5 linked regions of the Mus musculus genome follow. The protein of the gene in region 2 interacts with the protein of the main gene of each other region in a pairwise test. Links are inferred from orthologs where the notes say so. Each region holds a gene or a part of one and is shown on either strand. Other genes may lie near its edges.

Region 1 (4,642 bases), on a different chromosome or scaffold from region 2:
GGGTACAAAGTTAGGAAAATGGGGAGGGAGATGTTTTCATTATTTAACCATTTTTATCTTTGGGACTGTATCATGTTAATGAATTACTTTTGCAAACTAATTTGTGTTCGAAGCAGGCACAGAACAATCTCTCTCTCTCTCTTCCTCCCTCCCTCTCTCTCTCTCCCTCTCTCTCCCTCATACACACACACACACACACACACACACACACACACACACACACAGAGGTTTATAGAAGATATGGGGAATATGTAAACTTCCACAATTCCTCTCACCCAGAGGCAGAGTCATGGTAATAATCAAAATAACTAGACAATACTTGTGTCAGGGTACTCTGGTGGAGTCAGCTTGTGAGGCAAAAATGCCAAAAAGCTGCTCATGAGAAATGAATTTCTAGGACTCTCCTCCTGGATATTCTGGCGAAAGCCAACTCTCCAGTTTGGATCGGTTTGTCAGGCGAAAAGCCTGGAAGCTGTTTCACGAGGATAAGAGTCCAGGGAAATTTTCCTCCCAGAGTTATGGCATCTCTTTCCCTAACCCATTATATTCAAATTTCCACCACATTAATCTAGTGTATAGATTCACGTGCACTCTATTAAGCATCACCTTATAGTAAATGCCTTTTAATATTGTATTCTAACATAGCTAAAGCCTTTCCCCAGTGTTCTTAGATTCCAGATAGCAGCAAGGAGCTTAACCCATTCAGTAAACAATTAAGCACTTGCCATTTTACTCAGCTGTTTACAGATAGAGACTAAAAGTCTCACTGAGATAGAAATGTTTTACTACAGGCTTCATTCCATGTCAAGTATAAGTTGATATACTACCCTGATAAGGGGGAACTCTCCAGACAGGATAAGTTTTACTAGACCTAAGAATTTAGAGCTCAGTGATAGCACATTACTCTTAAGGCCTGTCAAGAGTTAACAACCCCCTGATGCTTTTAACCTTAAAGTGTGAAATTCTTGCCTGGCATTAGGCTGATCCTAGGCAGGGCTTGTTATCCCTAATGTAAACATTTAATTAGTCCCTGCAAATTCCTTTCTGCTGTAACTGGTGAATTTCAGTGTATCTTGTCTTTTTGTGATTTGTATCCTCTGATAATTCGTTGTTATATAAGTCTGAAGCTCAACCAGAACATTACATTCAGATTCAACACCTCTCTTGTGTGTGGCTGATTGTCATTTTCATCCGACTCCTTACCCATCTGCCTAAGAAATCCCGTTCCTCGAAGACCAGGGACCTAGAGGGTCTGTGGCATACTTGGACAGCCCAGCATGGTGCCACATGCCTTTAATCCCAGAGAGAGGAGGCAGAGGCAGGAGGATGGATCTCTCTGAGTTCAGGTCAAGAGTTACATAGTGAGACTCTCAAAAGCAAAAAGAAACTACTTATCTAGAGGATAAGAAGTTTTCTATTCACACTTTTCACCTTATAGAAGGAAATTTTATTCCTATATTTTGTTCTATCAAGTAAGCCACCTTTTCTCCCCAAATCTTTATTTAAAAAAAAAAAAAAAAACAAACTCTCAGGACTGGGAACATAGCTCAATGATATCACCAGAACACTTATTTTCTAAGTGAGTTTTAATGATGACATTCTTTAGTAGGTTGTTCCCAAAAGTTCTCCTTATTAATTATACAAATCCAGATTAGAAATAAAATGCCCAGAGTTGAGAGAAAGGACTGAGCTGCAAGAGAGCACAGGGCTCAACACTCAGCATGGATTTCCAGGAAATGTTTTGAGCGTCTCTTTTCTCTTAGAGCACTGTGACTCATGGTCTCTCTTCTGTTTCAATATTCTCTCCAGTCACAAGCAGCTAGCTTCCAAAGATCTATAAGATGTCAGCAAAGAACTAAACAGGAACTTTTACTGGCACAAAGTCAGAGTCAGAGTGGCCTATGTTCTAAAACAAGCCTGTCTGCAACACTAGTAAAATTCATTCCCCGGTGAAAACTGAGCACCACCAATGTATCCGTTTTATATAGAACAAAAAATCGATAGGCAGTTAAGTATAAGTCGACTCTTTCATATATATGCACACATATAGTTTTTTATTAATAATCACACCTAAGTAACTCACCATGTACTTGACAAATACAACTCATCCAACTGCCTGCAGACACACAGAAGCACACCTCTCTGGCTATGCTTAAAACCTGGTTTAACTACACTACACCACAAACTAAATGAAACGCCAGGAGAGTACGAAGTGCCTCGAGTCACAGGCTGCTTCAAGTGTCACTTGGAAAAAGAATATCCCATTGGATGCGTTCACACTCCCCCGCCCTCAGCACTCCCGCCGAGACCTCCTAAAAGCATTATGTCATCCACTACCCGCACATCTCTCACGCTGTCCTGCACTCCCAGCTCTTAGGCCTGATGAGGAGGTAACCCTAGAGATCTCTGCCTCTCCAAGTTCTCTTCACAACAGTCATGTGCGCCACCGCCCCAGTTTCTCCAGAAGAGAGAAACAAGTTCGTTCCCTAACTTCGCAAACTGGGAACGGCGAAGGCACTGGAGTCGTGACGCCCCTCAGCGAGTCCCTGGCTGGCCTGACCCGGCTCTGTCTCCTCTGAGGGAGGCCAGAGACCCCGCAAGACGAGGGCCCGGGCCGGGAAAGCCTGGCCTCAGGGAGGTACCGCGACCCTCTGGACAGGGAACAGTGTTGGCCATGCCCAGCACGCAGGCCAGGGGCGCGGGGCCCGGGCGGGAGCTGCGGCGCCCGGACTCACGGTCGGTGCAGCGGTTCCTCTGCCGGACCTGGCAGCGGCGGTGGTGGCGGCGGCGGCTGCCCCTGAGGCGGCGGCTGAGGGGGTTGAGGCGGAGGCGGCGGCGGCGGTGGCGGCGGCGCCTGCGGCGGTGGCTGCTGCTGCTGTTGCTGCTGAAACGACTTGAGCGACTCGAAAGCCTTCATCAGCTTTTCCAGGGTTGCCATGACGGCTTCCTGCCCGATGGGACAGACCCTGAAGACTTGGAGCCTACTGGCACTACGCGGCGCCACTTAGCAGCAAGGCAATGAATGGGGCTCTGCGCGGCAGGCAGAAGCGGAACCAAGGCGCTCAGCCATCTTGGGCCCGTCCCGGCAACCCTCGCGGCGAGTGCGTCCCGTGACGTCATGCCGGCGGAGACGAGGCCACGCCAGACCCGCAGAATTGACAGGCGGATGCGTCGTCCTCTTTCCCGAAGTCAGGACGCAGGCCTGCGGGGCCTCTGCTAGTTTAAGACTCTCCGCCCCGCCGATGTGGCCCCGCCCCTTCCCGCAAAAGCCAGCCCCCCTTAGTGAAGAGGGCCAAGCAAGAGGATGAGGTGGGCGGGGCGGGCTGCTAGATGAGGGACGGAGCTGAGCGGAGAGTGGGCTTTAGGGCGGCTCCCTGGCACCAGCGATAGAAAAGAAGTGAGGAGGTGGGCAGAGGAGTTGGGGAGACCCGGAAGGAAGAAAAGGTTGGAAAGGGGAATGACAGCGAAGAAATTTTCCTGCGTAAAGCCACCCTACACCTGGAGTCACCGGGAAAGCGATTGTGGAGCTCGGAACCCGAAACCCAAAGCAGCTCTCTCTTCCACAAGCCAGGTGGTGGCCTGAGCTTCCCGAACGCAGCGTGCTGGGAGCTCCCTGCAATGAGAAGGGAACCAGAGTGACCTGTATTCAGGACCAAAGAACCCTTTATGATCCGTGGACCCCGAAGCCCCAGAAGTGTCTGCAGTAGAGAAGGCTGAGAAAGGGTTTCAAGCAGGCAGCGAAGGCTGAGAAAGGGTTTCAGGCAGGCAGCAGTAGTTACTGTCCAAAGAAAGGCTGTGTTTCATGCAACTTTGGTCACACACTCTACATTGAGACACGGACCCTGGAAAGTGCTGTGGCAACCAGCCAGGACCTACAAGGGGTCTCATTGCCACCAGCGCTGAAGTCCTTGTCTCTAGAGCCTCCATCTCCCAAAGGTGAGCAATTAAAGCAGGAAGCTGAAAATGGTGTGGATACACCCAAGCTGCCCCTGCAGTCTGCCCAGCAAAAAGTGTTGGCTTCAACCGGGCATGGTGGTGCATGCCTTTAATCACAGCACTTGTAGAATGCTTTTTGAGTAGCATGCACGAAGCTCTGAGTTCAATCCCTGCATTTTATAAACCAGGGGTGGTAATCATGTACTCTGCAGGTAGAACGAGGATCAGGAGTTCCAGGTTTTCCTTGGCTTCATAGTGAATTCAAGTCAGCATGGGCTGTATCAGAACTTGTCTCAAAAGAAAAAGGAAAAGGAAAAAGCCAAGCAGTGATAGAACACACCTTTAATCTCAGCAGTCTGGAGGCAGAGGCAGGCAGATCTCTGAGTTATAGGTCAGCCTGTTCTACAAAGTGAGTTCCAGGACAGCCAGAGCTACATAGAAACCCTGTCTCAAACAAACAAACAAAACCGTTCCGGCTTCAGAAAAAGCTGTCTGGAGGTGATCCATGCAGTGAGAAACCCAATGAAGCTTCAGGCTACCTGTAAGAATCAAATGCCCTATTCCATGGCCATAAGGCACTCCATTTTCTCGAAATGGCCAAGTATACAGAAACCAACACTGTTACTGTAGGGGTATAAGCCCGCCGCTGTTAAACTGGGAAGGAGAGCAGAGAAACAGCCTTTAGATTCTATGTCCCCTCTGTTAC
Region 2 (4,847 bases):
TTTTAAATGGTTACAACAAAAACTAATTTCCTAAGTTAAAATAAAAACTTTTAGTGGTGGTAGCTAACTTGACAAACCTCTTCTTTAAGTGTTATACACTTAAACACCTTAGGGGTGTTTAACTTGAACACCTTAGGAAATAATCTAAAGGACCAATGATTTCAAACTAAAACCAAAATTCTTAAAACCTTAAAAGTTCCTTTCTTGGGAAACTGTTCAGGAACTCTCCAATCACTAGTCACCATTTAGAAGCCTGTATTTGTAACTGCACTATCAAACACTGTGTGTTCATGCTGATACCATTTTCCCATAGTGCCTGCTGAATTAAAAAACAAACAAAAAATGGATTCAAAGTGATAATACTAGTACATGGTAATGTGCTGACTGCACTGTTTTCTCTAACTCTCCCAGGACACACACATGACAGTTTAGCCCGAGAGCTACTTACCACCGTCCCTTTCTCTAACTCTCTGAGTGTGCACGTTTTTGGCCTTGTTGTGACCTGTGCTGTCACTGTATTTGTTTTCAGGACTATTAGATCTCCGCAACATTTTGTTTGGTGGTGAAGGATCTGCGGCGTCTCGCATCTTTTCATGTCTGTGATCACCACTACTGGGGTGACTCTTTGAAGAATACTTAAGTGCCTGTAAAACATCACCCCCCCAAAGAGAGAGAAAAATTGAAAACTTAAACTCAATTCCCAATTTAAATGACAAATTTTGCTATGTCAGGTTCCCTTACATCAAAATTCAGAATTTCCATTTTCAGTACTTCCCTTACTCAGAGAAGAGGGAAAGGCTCCAGATTTCCTATGCAACTCCTGATAACAGATGCAACCACAAAACACACACTCACACACACTCACAAAAGAAAAGAAGAGAAAAGAAAAGAAACCTATCTGATCATGTAAACTTTTTTTAAACAGTATTTTGGCACACTGACCTACCAGGAAAAAAAAATTCTTCAAAACTAAAATCAATTTTTGAGAGCTTAGATTACTATCCACTTAACCTCTACAACCAATGCATCCAAGCATGTCTATAAATAAGCATATTTTAATAACCACAATTTTCAAAAAGACAACAGTTTTTCCTCTTTTTTTTTGATTCAAATAAAGCACTGTCCCTAATTTATAAGCTCTTTCAGGGATAAATTAGTTTTTAAAATGTAACATGATGTGCCAAAACAAACTGATACATGAACAGTGTTTCTAAACAGGAAGAATTCTAAATGCCCTCAAAATAATGGTTTTACACTGCAGGTGTCTGAAGAGGAACCCAGTGTTGCAGTCTGGGAGGGAAGGAAATAATGTTTGACAGATGCAAATATTCTGACATCCCAGAAGCTCCTGTACAAGAGTCAGGCTGGAAATGTGCTGGCTCCCACGTGTAACCAGCATTCTGAAGACTAGACAGGAGTAAAACTGGAAGCAAGCCTGGACCACGGAACCTTGAGGGAGACACAGATCTGTTCCTATTTTCTCTTTTAAGGGTGATTAGAGGCATAAAGTATTTACTTCTGTTATCTTCAGACAGTATCCTGAAGACATTTCTGCAAACCTTTAAAACTTTACACGCAAAACCTTCAGTGGAATAGTAGAGAATCATTTCTACTAGCATGAATTACTAAGTAAAGGAAGGTTTAAATTAACTGAAGCAAAAACAAAACCTTTTCTTTGAAATAGCATAATCTGAACTAAATAAATAAAATGGTAAGAGTATTGTTACTGAGAGTAACTCAAGTTACTGCTCTCAAGCCTTTACTCTACTTTTACAACTCTCACATTTATCTTTCGGCTCCTCGATAGAATATTAAATAAATGGGCCTCTGAAGTCAAATATCACTACACTTCAGTGACTCCTTCACATTCAAGCCAAGCCAGGTCTTCCTGTTTCCGAGTATTTTTTTCCCTTAAAAACAAACAGGCAAACAAACAAAAAAACAAAAGGCAAAACAAACCCCTGTGCTTCCTCTAGTCACCTCTCAAGATGCATTTGGAGAATGCTAATAAAACCCAATACTGAATTTTAAGCGGACCAGTGGTGCTACTTTCAGATTTGTTGCACCAAAGGGCCTGTAGCGACTTCTGAAGCCTGCGCTCGAGTAGCAGTCCCTCCCTTCCCCCTCCAGCCCCTCCAATCCCTCCACCCAGGATCGGCTGGTACCTGGAAAGGCTGAGAGTCCCCTCTCCGGTCGTGACAGCTGAAAAACAGTAAAGAAGGACCGTCCTGTGAGACATCGCGGGAAAGGAAGAAAGCGGGTCTCCCGGCCGCCCCTCCCCGCGGACCGGCGGACAAACGTACCAGCGCGGATCCGCGCGCGGCGGACGCTCCCCGGGCTCAGAGGCCCGGGTTCGGACTCAGGCCGCAGCCACAGCCCGCTCGTCCAGCCCTCCGGGTCCCCAGGGCGCCAGCCCGTCCGCCCGGCCCGGCCCGGCCCGGCGCCTCCTCCGACCGATCCCGATCAGGGTTAACAACAAAAATGGCGGCGCGGCCAGCTCCCGATAAGGACGCCCGCCCGCCCGCCCGTCCGCCCGCCCTCCGCCGCGGCCCGGCCCGAAACGAAAAGACGATTTACCCATCACTGAGTCTCTGCTGTTTCCTCGCATACATTACCATCAATGCCCGGCTGTGTGTGTGTGTCGGGGAGGGGGAGAGCGGCCGCGAGGCAGGCGGGCGGGCGCGCGGGCGGCGGGCGGGCGGCGGGCAGCCCCGGCACCAGGTCTCAGCGCACCCTCGGCGGCTCGCGGCACCTCCCCGTTACTGGCGCCGGCGGTCCCGGGCCATCTCCCTCCGTCACCACCGCTTAGGGCCGGCTGGGGCAGAGGTGCCAACTACGGGGCGGCAGCGCGAGCCGGGGGGAGGGGGTGAGAGGCCGTGTTCCGGTCCCCGCGGAGAGCGAACGCCTCCAGCACCTTCCCTCCTCCTGCTCCGCCGCCGCCGGGTCCTTCTCGCCGCCTCCTGCCGCTGCTACAGCCGCCGCCGCTCCACCAACTACATCCGGGCAACTCGGACGCAGCCGCCTTCGGGAAAGCTCGGCAGTTTCCGCCACACCCCCTCCTCCCCGCCCCGCGAGGCTCGAGAACGCCGCCTTCGACAAACCTCGGCTCGCTCCCGCCCTCCTCTTCCTCCGCGGCCTGGGCTCCTCGCCCCGCGACCCGTCAAGCCCTTCCGGTTGCTGCTTTCCTCGCTCGCGAATCCGGCCACTCCCGTTCCACTTTAGGGGTAATCGTGCTCCGGAGCCTGCGTGAGGCGAGCCCCGGGGCCTCCGGGCTGCGCAGGGTGGGAGCCACCTTCGGGAAGAGAACCGTGGGGCGCGAGGGACGCCATCTCGGACTAAATGCGGAGCGGCGGGAGCTGCGCGTGCGCCCAGAGGCGCTACGGCGGCGGGGGCGGGGTGCCCTCCGCGAGGCGGCCGTGTCCCCCGCCCCTCGGGCTCCGTGCGGGGGTCGGAAAGCCCCTAATTGGGCGGCCCGGACGGTGGTCGCGGAGCCTCGGCGGGCCGCGACGGAAGTCACACTCGGCGGGCCGGGAGAACCCAGAACCGCGGCTGGTGCTGCCACCCAGCAGCGCCGACCGCGCGCCTGTGGCATTGGCCATGGCACGTAAGTGCCCGGCCGCACGGAGCCTTCCTACGGCGACTCCTGTGTCCCTCCTAGTTCTTCCTCTCCGTGGAAGGAAATTCTTTCCAGAGTACGGGAGTACAGAAAATGAGCGGTGTAGTGAGTGAGGTTGCTATAAATTATTTGCGATTCACGGGGAGGAAACTTATCAGTGACAATCTTTTCTTGGTGGCAGTCCACTGCCTTTTTATTTCCTGGAACATGGGTTTAACAGAAAGAATTGCTACGTAAGCAGGCTAGAGAGGTAAAACACATAAGGATTAAAAAAAAAAATTGAAAAGACTACTCGGTATCCAAAAGGTTACATTAATCCTAAATAGTGTAATACGGAAAGAGACCTTGAAATCATAGCTGAAAAGATTTTTTAAACTAACAGTGTCGGCTTGTCAGATCCACTTGTCAAATGTTAAGTTGATTATTATGGCAACTAGTAAAACCCTGCTTAACGCCCACAGAAGCTGTCAGTAACTAAGAAAAAAGGTTGTTGGTGCCTGAAGTGACTGGAGGGCTAGAGGGATAGGTCATTTGTAACATTTTTTAGCACAAATTAAACACAAAAAAAAGTTAAAATGCCCTTAATGGGGGTAGTCAGATCTCTCCTATAAGGGTCCTTTGGTCCAGTCCCAAACACTAAGTTGGAAGAGGGGAAAAAAATATTACGTCTTGCACGGAAATTCTAAAGACTGGCACCATTATTCTTATTCCCTTGTGGTGAGGTAACACAGGGCTGAGCTAAAGGAGGAAATGTTCAAGATGTAGGAGTGATACTCAATATTGTGTTTGCAAACTTACACAGTAAAATTCATTTGTCACCCCCACATCAGCATGCACCCAATGTACACAGATGTGAGAATGACATACCTGACAACAATGTCTGCCTCATTAGTTGATGTCTCATACTGTAAACTGCCCCTTAAACAATATATGTAGTGCCATGGTTTTCTCAGTTCTTGTGCTTGTCTTAGTGATTTTGTTACTTAAATGTCTACCAGCGCTAGTTCTGATACTGTCTAGTGTTCTTAGACATAGTAAAGATCTACTAAGTCTTAAAGAAAAAAACTGGACTAGATTAGTTTTATTCAGGCATACCATTAGTGCTTTTGACCACAAGTACCCTGTAAATGTTTATATTATTTTCAAGAACACATCTTCAGCCTAGCAGTGGTGGCCCACACCTTTAATCCCAGCACTTGGGAGGCAGAGGCAGGCAAATTTCTGAGTTCCA
Region 3 (4,735 bases), on a different chromosome or scaffold from region 2:
AACAGCCAGCTATGAGACAGCAAAGACTATCATCACTGAGCAGGTGCTAGGAGGTTCACAGTAAGGGAGGCAGGGTCAAGAGATGCTGGAACAGCACCCCACTGAGGCCAGAGACTGGCAGGGAAGAGCTGGGAAGCACACACCAAACAAAAGAAAACCACCAGCAAGTCCAGGCCAACAGGGATGAAAGCCACGTAGGGTGGTGGGAGCCTGAACCTGGGGCCACGATGGCCTGACTTCAGTCCCTTTGCAGCAACTTGGGACCAGAGGCCGAGGCACTCCAAGGAGACACAAACAGCTTTTATCTAGCAGAGGGCCTGACCACACAACCCTTCCCCAGTGCACTCAGACCAAGCCAGGAGAACGGACTCCAGAAAGAAAAGGAGCTACTTAGCCTGGGTATCTGAAACCAGGAGTTCCAAAAGAGTCCCTCATTTCTACCATAATGGAGTGTTCCCCATCCAATCATATTTGTTCTCTTCCCACAGTGCCTCCTCCCACACGTAACCTGTAGCCCTAGTTACCCCTACAGAAGGACAATAATTTTCTGTTCCTCTATGACCCTACATCCAGCCAGGGTCCTGGATTCTCAAAAGTACATATTGCTAAAAAATCAGTAAGACGGGTAACAGGAAAAAAAAAAAAAAAAAAAAACACCAAGAATGTAAATGTGGTGCTTGGAGAGGACTCATATGACCAGACTTGTGGTACATAGTAACATGTTACCATGGGTACAGGAGGCAGGCTTTAAAAACATCAGCAGCAAGACATCCCCATGTGAATGTCACTCCTCTGGGATGGGGCTACAATTACTTTGGCAACATCGTTCTAGTCATTAATTAATCTAGAAGAGTCCATCTCACAACAAACTTCAGGAGAAACATATTGCTGGGCTGGGCTTTTTTTTTAGGAGACAGCTGGCTGGCACACAGACCACCAGAGCATCCCAATCTAACACTCCTGAAACTGACTTTGCTCAGGTTTCCCCAAGACACTGGCAGTTTAAATTGTGAGCAGCAACTGTGACAAGAGACATTTGTGTCTGAATGTCAGCTTAATGAAGAAACAGCTGTAGCTACCTCATGGAAGAGACTTGAATGCAGTATTCAGGGACAGTAAAGAACCTTCAGGGAGGCTCTCTACCTCTGCTCTGAAAAAACTTCCAAGTACATCAACTCTGACAGCCTTCCTTATCAAGGAGGTGACAGCTAATGTACGTACCTTCATACCAAAACAGACCGGCTTCACCACTGGATCCAGTAAAGTCTAAAAGAAAAGCAGCCCTCACTCCTCACCTGTCTACCTGTCAACAGTCATCTCCCACTTCTTTCCTCTTCCCTCCCATAAGCCCCACTCCGTTCCTGAGTGATCTGAGGCTGAGTAGCACTCCCCGTAAGCCATGGGCTGAGGGTACTAACAGAATAAAAACACAGGCCTAGCAGTCTCCACTGTGATAGGCCGGTGCCATGATGCCTGAGTCTTCTTGACTCCTTCACTGTTGAAGAGTGGCAACTGCCTGCTTCCCAGGGCTCTCCACACCACCAGTCCCTTCCTCAGACCTTCCAGGATAGGCTACAAACGCCTCACAGACTGGGAGAGGAGACTACCAGGCGGCAGAGCACCTTGGGATGTGGGTGGATTCCTGAGCATTTCTGGACACATGTAAGATTAACAGACAGGGCCATGTTCCGAGACAGTACCTATTACAAGCTAAGGTAGGAGGGCCAAATGAGTAACGAGAAGGGTAGACTACAGTGCTCAACCTACTGAGACGAGAAAGTCTGAGGGTCAACACTGGGAGAGACCTTGAGCTCTGGACTTCTAAGTCCCAACCATACCCCAAGTTCCACAGCACCTTCTGGAGTACCATGCCCATTCTGTGTACCCCCTGCAGTGACACTCTTGGGGTTACCAAGAGCCCAGACAGACTCCACACAATTGTAACTGTTGTACAATGTTATGTACCTCATCCAATGCAGCTTCCTGGAGACTCACTAACAAATAGAAGACAAGCTCTAAAGAGACATAATGGTAAGTGCTGCAGGTTGGGAGAAGTAAAGTAAGGCAGGTCCCAAGACCTAGTGGGCCTGGGAACCTAACATGGAAGGCACCACTGAATGCTCAGAAGGTCCCAGACAAGGACCTGCACCCTACCCAGGCCTCAAGTATAAGCACAGCCCAATTCCAGAGCCCCAACATACCTCCAGCTCCTAACAGCAACTTGACCCTGAGCCTAGACCCTGTCCCGAGGCTCACACTCAATAAACCGATGTCAGCCCGGGCCTCTACCTCCTCTCAGCCTCACCTTCTGGCTCCAGCACCCTAACCCACAGACCTAGACTCTGACCCGGGCCTTCTATCTCCACCCAAACCACTAGACCAGCACCCGCTACTCTACCCTGACTCCAACTGGAACCTAACCCTGACCCTCACCTGGACCTGGACCTGCACCTCCACCCCTCAACGCACTCTCAATCCAATCAGCACTCGGAGCCACACAGACCTTACCATTGACCCTGATCCTCACCTTCATCTGAGACTAATCCTCATTTCGACCCAAACCCTGATTGGCATCCTACAACGCCCCTCACACTACCCGGTCCCTCAACGCGATCCTCACGCTACCTGGTCACTCGCCTTGATCCGGCCCTAATTCTGACTCTCACCCCGAAACGAATCCTACTCAGACGCGCATCCTACCTCGACTCTCACCCTACCCGGACCCTCACTCCGACACTCGCTCGGTCCCGCACTTAACCATAACCTTCAACACCGTTACCCCAACCCTCAACCCGTCCCGCCACTACCCGGACCCTTAACCCGTTCCGCACTCTACCCCTACCCTCACCCCACCTCAACCTGACGCGCACCAGCCCGCGCCTACCTCGGTGATGATGTCGTGCAGGTAGCGGAACGGTGGCTTGTTGAGCAGCTTCTCGGTGAGCGGCGGCCTCCGGATCACCTTGCCCAGAGCCTCCTGCGTCCGCCGCACCACTGCGGCGTTCATGGCGCTGCCGCCCGCGACCGCTCGCGCCCCTCCTCGCGCGCCGCGCCTCTGCCCGGTGCCCCGAGATGCCCGCCGTCCCGGCGCGCCGGTCTCCCATCCCACAGTGCACCGCAGCTCGCCACCGCGCTTGCGCGTGCCACCAGCACCCGGTCTCTAGGGCCGCGCGGCCTTGGCAACGGACGCGCGCCCGGCCCCGCCCATCCCCTCCGGCCTCTCTAGCTGCTCTGGAGGACACACGCGCTCCGCCTCTGTGGCTGCTTGAACCTGAGCCTGCTCCGCCAACCCGGCGCACCATAGGGCGCTGCACAGCACTGCCCAGAGACCTGGCATTCTGAGTGAGAAAAGAGCGACCATTTGATATTTCTAAGGAGAGCATTTACAGTAACACCCACCAGGAAAATAACACTTCACATAAACTTGGAAAAGGACTTGACTCCTTTCATCCCTTCATTCCTGTTCCCTGCCCAGCATCCCCTGCCTTAGGTAATCTTTAAGATGGTGCCAAGGGGAAGGGTTGTGTCCTTCCACATTTTCTGTGCTCTTGGTTCACCAGAGCGGGCACAAAACTGTGAAGGAGCTAGGCCCTTAGGCTAGGATGCTGCAGCTTTCTGCTACACACACACACACACACACACACACACACACACTTACTTCCCACCTCACCCTCACCACCACCCGAGGCTATGCAGGAGATGCTTCTACTGGATCAGGTGTTGCTGCTGTGCCTGAGGTCTGGAGCTCCTCTGCCCAAACTGGCAGAACCCCAACTAGAACATTGCCCCTGATCTCTCTACCATGGCTACACCCCGAGAGCCAGAATCTTCTTTAAGAGCCCTCTCACTCTGAGCCCCAGCTGGAGTTGGTCTCTGGGGGAGTTCAGAGAGCAGAATTCAGAGAGCAGAAGTCCTGTCTCTAAACACCGCCCCTAAGAACATACCCACCTAGCTCCTACCCTAGAAAGTTCACTCTGAGCAGAATCGTGATGTAGGTGTGGAATGAAAGCTGGAGCCAGCAACTGGCTTGTTTGTGATGCTGGACCAGGTGGTAGGAACTCAGGGTTTTACTTGGAAGATACCTCTGACCTTGGGAATTCTACTGAGGACCTGGAGCCTATGCCATACAACAAAGCGAAGATGATGCTTTATCCTCTCACAGCTTGTGGAGGAGGGCAGAACAGTAAGTGGATCCAAGAACACACACACACACACACACACACACACACACACACACACACACACACGAAGGCCAGAGTACAGTTTTGGCTGCCTTTAGGAGGGCTAACCAACCAGAAGATCTTCAGTCTATCTGGGTATCAAAGTTTTTTAGAAGATCCAGGACAGCAAGTATTGTCAACCAACCCTCTGGGGACTGACCTAGGGGAGGTAACTTTGAAGAGTATAGTTCTATCTTCCAGAGTCTCACCCCTGCCTTTGGTTCAGCCTACCCACCCCCATACTGAAGAAAGACATTCTTCAGTGGACAACATTCTGGTCACCAACGAAGCGGGTCCCAGAAGATATAAGCAATTCCTGGCTTCAAGAAAGATATCTGGAACCCAGACCTCCCCAGAGGAAGGATGCAGAGGCCAGCATGGAGCCATCAGTCTTGGGGGGCAGTCAGCAGAGTAGGGGCTACTAGCCTACATCACCCCCTGAGATGAGGGAGAGAGCAGGAAAGAGTCATTCACAGAAGAAGGTAGCTGAGTAAGAATGGAAAGAGGTTTCTAAC
Region 4 (4,636 bases), on a different chromosome or scaffold from region 2:
CTGCTTTAAATGTCCTTTGGTCCAGTTTGGAAGTAAAGACTCAAAGCCCTTGGAGTTAGGCTAAATTTGAATTCTATCTATAATACAAAACAGTTGGGTCACCTGGAGGAGTACTGGCCTCTCTGCGTGCTTCTCTCCTAACCTGGAAAGGGAGGATAAAGAGTCTTTGGGTGGTGGTGGGGTTATTGAGAAATTATACATCCGAGGCAATTATACTATTGTTTGACTTGCAAGGGAGTGTCCACTAACCTTAACAAGTCTCTAGCACGGAAATTCTTAGTTTTCCCTGCATCTTCAAGCTAACCCTGGTTCAAGACAAAATTAAGAATGATGTATTTATGAAAATCTTTTAAATATGCTGGATCATGACCGAGGAAAGGTCTAGAAATAAGGGTAACTACCCAAGTGTTCCCTTTTCCTGTAGCTTTGCTGAGCGTGACGCATCCTAAGTAAAAATAAATGTATATCTGGCTTTCAACGCTTCCTGTCAGTTCTAAAAGAGGGTTGTTCCTCAGCATTGTGTAAGGACCGCTGTTAGTACAAATGGAATTCCAAAGTGGTCCTAGTTATTTCTAAGGCAGAGAGACTGATGTAGCTGTGTTTATCCACCTACACATGGCTTTTCTGTAGTGTCTCAGAGATTCAGAGATGTGTCACCTATCTAGAAAGTCAAGTTTTTCTTAAGTTGTTCTCTCTCCCTTCATTCTGGAGAGGCCAATCTCGAATGTGTCTTTAAAAATAATCTCATATGTCTTATTCAAGATCAACTTCATCTCTTGCCTTCAACAAAGTATTTTATCTTTCCTAGACACCAGTGGGAAAGTAATGGATGCCCACCCCCGCAACCCGGTGCTGAAGAACCATGGAGTCTACTAACCATGAGCACTGTTAAAACAAAATGCTACAGTGCCACAGCTGAATCACTCTCACCATGTCTTTAAATCTGTAACTCAATTCAAATCCTTCTGGACTATCAAACAATGCTTTTTAGCTGAATTATGATCTTAAATGATTTCTTCAAGGTCTTCAAATATTTAAATCAATGTCTGGAAAGAACTAGAAATGTCCGGCTAACAAAGCTTTCACACGGCAGAGAAAGAAAGCAGCACAGCTGCCATTTTTGTAAATGAAATGTTATTCTACACAGGAAAGAGAAAAAAAAAAACTTTACAGTCAAAGTTCATTTGCACCGTGTATCCTGTGGCCAGGAAGCATTCCTTCTGATTACTCATGAAGAGCAGAAATCAGAAAATACAGTTTACTTATTCATCCTAATGAAAACCAGGCTACAACCCCAATCATTTCGGGGCCAAGTTCAAGGGAGGGGTAGAATTAATGCACTGTCAGTAACTTAAAAACTGACACCAGGACCTTCCAGGTCAGCCGAAAGCTTTACATTTAAACTAACTTACTCTTTACCGAGTTATACATTCCCTGGAGTTAAATGGTTTCTTTTCCTAAAAATCCAATTCCGACTCTTTTGTGTGTGTGTGTGCGCGCGTGTGTGCCAACATAAGCATTTACTTCTTTAAAACTGCCTGAAGTATAACCAGAAACTGGTTTTCACTTACATAACAATCTTCAAAACTTAGCAAGAAAGTGTTATGAAACGCAAGCGTCCCATTCGCTGTCTTCAAAGTGCGCAACATGCTAAGAAAATTGAGGCAGAATCTCAAACAGCAAAGAAAAATGTATTAAGGACACAAGCGAGGGATAATAAATAAATGTCTAAAAGCAAAACTTCTGCAACAGTATAAAAAGCAACAAATTCTAATCTATTACTCTTACCCTTGACGGCAAGGACCAGAATATCCTGCCTTATACATTTTGGTATTACAACTCTGTAATGCTAAATCCAAAGACAAAGCCGCCCAGGGGAAAATAACAATTGCGCAACTGATCAACAGCTCCAACTTGTCCCTTGGCCCCAGAGCAGCGAGGTTTGCACGCTATAGAGCAGGAAAGGGCCAACCGAGGGCCTCTGTGACTGCCAACTGGCCGATGTAAGCCAGCCAGAAGCCACAGCCTCGCACACTACGTGGGGCCCCGCGGGTCACCATACTCAGAACACACAGCCCAGCATGGGGCCCACTCGGACCTCGGAGCCCGCCGCCCAGGTCTGCACGTCCTTGCGCCCGGCGCGAGGCCATTCCCGGGTTCCCAGGCTGAAGGAGCGTGCGGAGCCCTGCCGGCAGGCCGCCCGTCGGGGCGCCAGAGCACGAGGGCCACCCGGTGACTTTCTCCTCCGCCCCCGGAGGGCTGGGCTTTTCTGGATCAAGACGGACAGGCGTGATCTTACAGACCAGCTCTCGGGCTGAGGCCGTAGACGGCCGAGCTCACCAAGTCGTAGAACGGGGGTTGGGGAGGGCTTCGGGCGGACGCCGAGGAGAGACCTCAGCTCCCCCGAGCGCGGCCCCGTGACTAGGCACATTTTTACCGGCACCGAATCAGGGAAACTACGCTGCCCCGGAAAAGGCCGGGCGGCGCCGGTTTAGACCGCCAGCATCCACCCCCCTCCCGCCTCTGCGCCTCCCACCCAGCGAGGTGGTGGTGTCTCTGCCTGGCCCCACGAAGTCAGAGCTTCCTCCACACCCCAACCTCGCCGCCCCTGGAGACCTCAGGCTCGGACCCCACTCTCGTCGCGGCCCCAACATCCTCCGTTGCCCTCCCAGCTCGGCGGGGCAGTTCCCAGGCCCTGCCGTCGTAGTCCTGGCTCAGACTGTCCCTCCCTCCCGGAGCCACTATCCCCTCGAGCTCCTGCCGGCTTCTTGGCACAGCCCAGGGGCCCGAAGGTTGGGGCAGCACCTGCTGGGACTGTAGTCCTGGCGGTGGCAACTCCAAGTCCATCATGCTGAGGGCGGACGCTGTGGTAGGGCTCCCCGACGGCGAGGCTACTTGCAGCAGAGGTGAGGCGGCGGCAATGGCTAGTCCGAGCAGCGGAGAACTAGGAGATAGCCTGCTCGCTGGAGTGGCAGGCCAGCCTTAGTCCGCCCCGCCCCCGCCCCCTGGGGGCGGAACAAGGACCTAGGGACGGGACAAGAACTTAGAGGCGGAGAAAAGGCTAGGGCAAGAGGCAAGGGCCAGAGGCAGGACAAGGGCATGGAGGCGGGGTAAGGGGCGGGGCAAGAGCTTGGAATCGCGTACAGGGGCAGGGCAAGGACCCGAGGGCCCCCCGCAAAGGCCTAGGGCGGGGCAAGGGGAGGGGGGGACAAGACGGGGGCCAGTGGAAGGAGCAAGAGCCCGAGGGCGGGGCATGGACCTGAGTGCTTCCGGCCGGAGTTCCCGCGTTCCCCTCGACCCCCCACTGTTGATCCTCCTCTCGCTGTCCGGGGCATGGCGGAGTCAGGTGGGCTGAAGTCGCACGGGGGGCGGAGCGCGAGCAGGAGGCCTTCGGCCCCCCCAGTCCTCTGTAGGACAGCACCCCCTTGCTAGAGATTAGCAGCTGTTTGCCGAAGGTCGCTCCAGCCCTGGCTCTTTGAAGCAGTTTAAACAGTTGGTGCAAGCACACCGGGAGCCCCGGCCCGTGCGCTGCTATCGGAGCTGCCACTCCCTGATTTGGACCTGCAGAACCTTGCCCGCTTTATCTCGCTCCACCGGCTGACTGTGGCGCCAGTTTCGGGGTTAGGGCTCTGAGCTGGGACCCGGACTTTGCAAGAGGCCAACTGCCCTCTGGCCCCAGGTCCCATTCAGTTGCTGGTGCTCAAACACCTCTGCCCCAGGGAGATGGATGAGTCCACGCTGCAAACTCGTGCTCGCTTACTCGAAGGCCCTCCACTTCTCCCACGTGCCCTGGGCTCGGGGCCCAAGCGGTCACTCAGTATCACTTCATCCACCCAGAGCCCAGCAAGCGGGCACAGCTCTAACAGAATCACCGAAGTGGATTCTAAGACTCTCAGGGTTCCTTTACACGTACTTACTCTATTTGGGAATTTTGAGGTATGATCTCATAAGGCCCCACCTCTCAAGCTGTTTTTAGAGCAGCGTTTCTCAACCGTCGTAATGCAGCGACCCTTTAATATAGTTCGTGTTGTGGTGACCTCCAACTAGAAAAGTATTTTTGCTGCTACTTCATAACTAATTTTGTTGCTATAAATTGTAATGTAAGTATCGGATGTGCAAAATATCTGAGATGCTTGGGGTGGCTCTCCACAGGCTGAGAACTGTACCATAGACTCTGCCACTTGGGTTTGGTGGTGGTGGTGGTGGTAGTGACTGTTTTCACAACGTTCATTCCCAAACATACTTCTTTAACTGCCCCCGAAAAAAAATCCAATTTCTAAAATAGTTATATGGGCTTAGAAAAAAAATCGAGGGATGTTTTAATGTGTTAATAGTTGAAAACCCAGAGTATTTTTATCTTTCTCTTTGTTGTTTTAAGTATGTTTGAACACAAATATCTTCTTTTGAATTTTTTTTTTTTTTTTTGGTTTTTTAAGACAGGGTTTTTCTGTGTAGCCCTGGCTGTCCTGACACTCACTCTGTAGACCAGGCTGGCCTAGAACTCAGAAATCTGCCTGCCTCTGCCTCCCAAGTGCTGGGGCTAAAGGTTTGCGCCACCACTGCCTGGCTTGAAATGTATTTTAAAAACCACTACCCTATTATGGGCCTGGGGTCAGTTAGAGATTCAACAATCTGA
Region 5 (4,852 bases), on a different chromosome or scaffold from region 2:
TCAGAGCCATGTGGCTGAAGCTGGCGAGTTCTACTGCTTCCTGGGCCTGGAACATGCCTCTCTTGTTCTATGATATTATCATCAGCATTTTGTTTTCTAACTCCTAAGCTTAGCTCTCCTGGAACTTACTCTATAAACTGAACTTCAACTCAGAGATCTGCATGGCTCTGTGTCCTGAGTTCTGGGATTAAAGACATGTACCATCACACCTGGACCCAAGCTTTTCTTTACTTAGAACTTGCTGTGTAGCAGACTGGCCTTGAACTCAGATATCTGCTTCCTCTGTCTCCTGGGATTAAAGGTGTGTTCCCCAATGCCTGGATATAAGCTTTTCATGGCCACTGTTCCTCAAGACATGGATCCAGAGCATGTGTCATCCTACATCAAGATCCGAATCAAAATCCTGTATCTTCCAGCCTTAAGATATGGATCACAGGTGTGCCCTCCATTTCTGGATTGTAGTTCATTCTAGATTAAAAGTCCAAATGAGAACAATAACAGGTAATAATACCTAACGTGACATAAATATTCCTTGTTCAACTGCAAACACATAAACAATGGCTGTGTGGGATCTTACCCCAAGGTCACCTTTCCCTTAATCTGTTAAATATCCTTGAACACAGGATTTAGTTCCATTGCACTTCCTGGTGTCCCTTTATTACTTGAACCATACGTTTTGTGTTTCTTTTCCTTTTAGTCTTGCTATGCTTGATCAAAACAATCTTCATGAGAGTAATCCAGAGGATTTCTATGCTGGGTGTTTCTGAGACTTTCTTTGTGCAATTAATTGAGTCTTTTCACCTGAGCCTCAGACAGACTCTTTGTCACCAATATATAAGAAAGAGCTCCATAGTTCAAATCACTCTCAGTACCAATGTTTCCCATGTTCCTACTATGATGAACCATTAAGTCACACTTAAAGCATTCCATGGCTTTCCAAATCAAAAGTTCCAAAAACCACATTCCTCCAAATGAAAACATGGTTAGGCTTATCACAGCAATACCCCAGTCTCTGTTATCAACTTCTGTATTAGTCAGTATTTCTATTGCTGTGAATCAACACCATGATCAAGACAACTCTTACAAAGGCCAACATTTAATTTGGGCTGCTGTACACTTTCAGAAGTTCACTCCATTATCATCATGTCAGGAACATGGCAGCATCCAGGCAGCCATGGCAAGGGAGGAGCTGAAAGTTCTACATCTTAATCTGAAGACCTCCAGGAGAAAACTGGCATCCTCAGGCAGCTAGGAGGAAGCTCTCAAAGCCCACTCCTACAGTGACACAACCCAAAGGCCACACCTCCTAACAGTGCCACTCCCTAGGCCAAGCATGTTCAAACCACCACAACTTCCCTTTAGGTTCACCTCAAGCTCTTCCCTGACATCTTATGGGCTCTTATTCCTGCCATTCTACATATCACACCCTATACTTTCCCATCTCAATAATCCTTTCCTTCCTCTACTCTTGGAACATACCTCCTCACCTTCAAGCCACAGATCATGTCTGGCTCCAGAGTTTTGTCAAGCAGTACAAGGGAGTTTCCCCTGCTTCAAGTAGATCCTACATCCCTTGTCATGCTGCCGAAGAAGTGTATAAAATGTGTGAGTATGTGTGCGCATGCTCATTTGTGTATGTTATGTGCACACTCGAGAGGATGTGAGTGTGTGTGTGTGTGTATGTGTGTGTGTGCACCACTGTCTCTCCATGGTGGCACATGAGCAAATATATGCCCACTCCCAGCTGTTTCCCTGTCTTTTCAGATATGAAGGCAGATGCATGAGTTTTGGGGGATTGACTATTTCTATTTACCTCATATAGGATTTGCAGATGGACAATAACAGACCAAACAAATGATTCCACCCAAGCCCAGAATTGGGACACAATGATATTAAAAGATCAGAATATGTTCACCATTGCAGTTCTTGACTCCTGTCTCAAAGGTGCAGACTCAAGACTGAAATGACATGAGAACATGGTATTTGTACATTATTACCATAGTCAGACTGAAACGCCACTTGAATGTCCAGGTAGAGGTTCAATTACATACAATACCATGGAATCCAGAGACAATATAAGGGAATGGAGATGCTCTCTAAAATAAGGAGTGGATTCCTAGTGAGTCACAATGCAGGAGGAAAGGGTGACATAGCAATTGCTTCTGCTACCAAAGGAATATACACATGTATGTGTAAGTGTAGCCCTAGGAACTGACTGGAGCTGGCACAAATGAGCTGATTTCCAACTAGGTTGGCACTGGTGTCCTAACCACAAAGAGAAAAACATTATGAAAATTTATTTATAGAGATAAAATCACCATGTGGACATATCAATGTTATTTGAAGTTCAGTTACATAAAACATGGAAGATACTCTTTCTGCTGCTCCAAAATCATAAAACGTGAGAAAGGAACAATGGTTGTCAAGGAGGGACCTCTGATCTAGAATTTTGGCCAGGGTCTTTCTGGGGTTTCTGGCAGCTGCTTAGCATTCTCAGTGGGGTTTTCATGAGGTCCCTCCGTCATTTCTGTAACATACATGTCCTGGTCATGTGAGGAAACTCATAGCCATCTCTTCTGTCCTAAGAAATGTTATTTCCCAACAAACACCAGTGTGCACTCAACTCCACAGAAAGAAAGTCCGTCCCCACAGAAACACCTGCCTCTGAACTGGAGCAGCTGCTTTGAGCCACTGAAGGATGTCCTCTGCCAGGGCCTGGGAAGAGGTGCTGGATTCGGCACTCAAAACTACAGCAGACCTAATTCAACTTGAATTTCTGAGAAACAATGAATAATTGTCTTCTAGTATATTTGTGCTGGAAAGTAACCTGTTTGTCTAAAAACAAATTTCAATCAGGCAGCCACCAACCTAGACACTTAGGTTAGTTTTCCTATTGGGTGGCTAGTGGGCCGGAGATGGGAGGAGGAAGAGAAAGAGGAGAAACCGGAAGAGAGGAGGGAGGAGAAGGGGAACTAACCCTCTCTCGGACTCCGGGTTGAGACCTCCGCCTCCGGGTTATGACTCGCAAGGTGAAAATTTGACAACTGCTTCTGCAGAGACACTAGAGAACCGGTTCGAAGGAAAACGGCCCAGCCTCCTTGGTCCACGCAGCTGATGCACGTTCTGGCCACCTGCCAGTGAGTCGCGTCCCGTTGCCTGGCAACGAGAGCACGCTCAAGTGTAGCGCTAAGGTTCCATTGCTACCCAATCAGTGGAGGCAAAGAGAAATGAAAGGGGAATTCGCGCAGTGGGAGTGGGGGTGGGAGTGGGCGTGGGAGGGGTGGCGTTCTCTAGCCTGAGCTTGGAGTGCGCACTGTAGGGGATGGGGCACGCACGCAGATGGGAGAACCAGATTTATGGGAGAGGAAGCACTGTGGAGAAACAGCGGGACAGAGACTTGGAACCTAGCAGGCATAGGAACCCTTAGATAGGAGCCCTGTGGACCAGCAGATCTTTGAAAGTCAGGGGAGACTCCTTTGATCCCTGGGGATTAAAGCTGCAAGCTTGTTGTCGGCTTGGCAATTTTAAGACTCCACACCTTTCAGAGCAAACTCAAACGCAAGCAACTTCAGGTTACCCAAAGGCACCCTCTGCCAGGCCCTCCTATGCACTTTCCCCTGATGTGCTTGGTTAGTTTTTGTCAACGTGACACAAACCTAGATATACCTTGAAGGAGGAAATCTCAAATGAAGAACTGCCTCCATCAGACTGACTTGTGGGCATGTATGTCTGTGAAGCGTTTTCTTGATTGCTAATTATGGGCATATGCCCACTATGAGCTGCGAGTGCCCATCCCTGAGAAGGTGGACTTGTGCTGTGTAAGAAAGGTAGCTGAAGCCGGGCAGTGGTGGTGCACACCTTTAATCCCAGCACTCAGGAGGCAGAGGCAGGCAGATTTCTGAGTTCGAGGCCAGCCTGGTCTACAGAGTGAGTTCCAGGACAACCAGGGCCACACATAGAAACCCTGTCAAGCAAGGAAGGAAGGAAGGAAAAGGAAAAAAAGAAAAAAAAGAAAAGGAAAAGGGGAAAAGGAAAGGAAGGAAAAGGTAGCAGAGTCAGCCAGGGAAAGCGAGCCTGTAAGCAGCATTTCTGTCATAGTTACTGTTTCATGCTCTTGCACTGAGTTCCTGGCTTGGCTTTCCTTGATGACGACTGACTGTAATCTGTAAACCAGATAAATCCTTTTGTCCCCCAGTTCGCTATTGGTCATGGTGTTTATCAGAGCAAGAAAAAGCAAACTATGGGCATGGCATTGCTTAGTGGTAGAGGCTTTCATAAATGCAAGAAGGGACACTAATGGATCAACAACGAATGAGCCCTCCCTCTACCCACCTACCCCCAACATCAGAGCACTCAGACATATTTACTCAGGACTTAGTATGTGACTGTACTGGCTGGTTTTGTGTGTCAGCTTGACACAGGCTGGAGTTATCACAGAGAAAGAAGCTTCAGTTGAGGAAATGCCTCCATGAGATCTAGCTGTAAGGCATTTTCTCAATTAGTGATCAAGTGGGGAGGGCCCATTGTGGGTGGGACCATCTCTGGGCTGGTAGTCTTGGGTTCTATAAGAGAGCAGGCTGAGCAAGCCAGGGGAAGCAAACCAGTAAAGAGCATCCCTCCATGGCCTCTGCATCAGCTCCTGCTTCCTGACCTGCTTAGTTCCAGTCCTGACTTCTTTTGGTGATGAACAGCAATGTGGAAAGTATAAGCTGAAAAAACCCTTTCTTCTCCAACTTGGCCATGATGTTATGTGCAGGAATAGAAACCGTGACTAAGACAGTGACAAATGCCAGAGGTAGTATCTCAGAGGGCTTGTCATATTTAAGCCCTGTAGCAGCCACTCAATAACTCA

The links.
Region 1: the proteins of Wac (region 2) and Htt interact in binary tests that used the Homo sapiens proteins (3 or more experiments, as listed by UniProt). The link is inferred for Mus musculus from reciprocal best matches to the Homo sapiens genes WAC and HTT.
Region 3: the proteins of Wac (region 2) and Traf3ip1 interact in a two-hybrid assay, tested with the Homo sapiens proteins (2 studies listed by BioGRID and IntAct). The link is inferred for Mus musculus from reciprocal best matches to the Homo sapiens genes WAC and TRAF3IP1.
Region 4: the proteins of Wac (region 2) and Nfe2l2 interact in a two-hybrid assay, tested with the Homo sapiens proteins (2 studies listed by BioGRID and IntAct). The two-hybrid records come from large-scale screens. The link is inferred for Mus musculus from reciprocal best matches to the Homo sapiens genes WAC and NFE2L2.
Region 5: the proteins of Wac (region 2) and Dydc1 interact in binary tests that used the Homo sapiens proteins (3 or more experiments, as listed by UniProt). The two-hybrid records come from large-scale screens. The link is inferred for Mus musculus from reciprocal best matches to the Homo sapiens genes WAC and DYDC1.

Annotation. Positions count from the first base shown.
Region 1 is NC_000071.6:34,760,203-34,764,844, reverse strand, and holds the start of Htt (huntingtin), read right to left. Parts: upstream 3,106-4,642; 5' UTR 2,939-3,105; coding exon 2,736-2,938; intron 1-2,735.
Region 2 is NC_000084.6:7,867,346-7,872,192, reverse strand, and holds the start of Wac (WW domain-containing adapter protein with coiled-coil), read right to left. Parts: upstream 2,997-4,847; 5' UTR 2,619-2,996; coding exon 2,578-2,618; intron 2,501-2,577; exon of another isoform or gene 2,304-2,500; intron 2,203-2,303; coding exon 2,166-2,202; intron 663-2,165; coding exon of another isoform or gene 645-662; coding exon 449-644; intron 1-448.
Region 3 is NC_000067.6:91,493,038-91,497,772, reverse strand, and holds the start of Traf3ip1 (TRAF3-interacting protein 1), read right to left. Parts: upstream 3,106-4,735; 5' UTR 3,008-3,105; coding exon 2,885-3,007; intron 1-2,884.
Region 4 is NC_000068.7:75,701,559-75,706,194, forward strand, and holds the start of Nfe2l2 (nuclear factor erythroid 2-related factor 2), read right to left. Parts: upstream 3,106-4,636; 5' UTR 2,851-3,105; coding exon 2,806-2,850; intron 1-2,805.
Region 5 is NC_000080.6:41,071,164-41,076,015, reverse strand, and holds the start of Dydc1 (DPY30 domain-containing protein 1), read right to left. Parts: upstream 3,106-4,852; 5' UTR 2,978-3,105; intron 1,959-2,977; exon of another isoform or gene 1,814-1,958; intron 1-1,813. UniProt on the Homo sapiens protein: Functions as part of axonemal radial spoke complexes that play an important part in the motility of sperm and cilia. Plays a crucial role during acrosome biogenesis.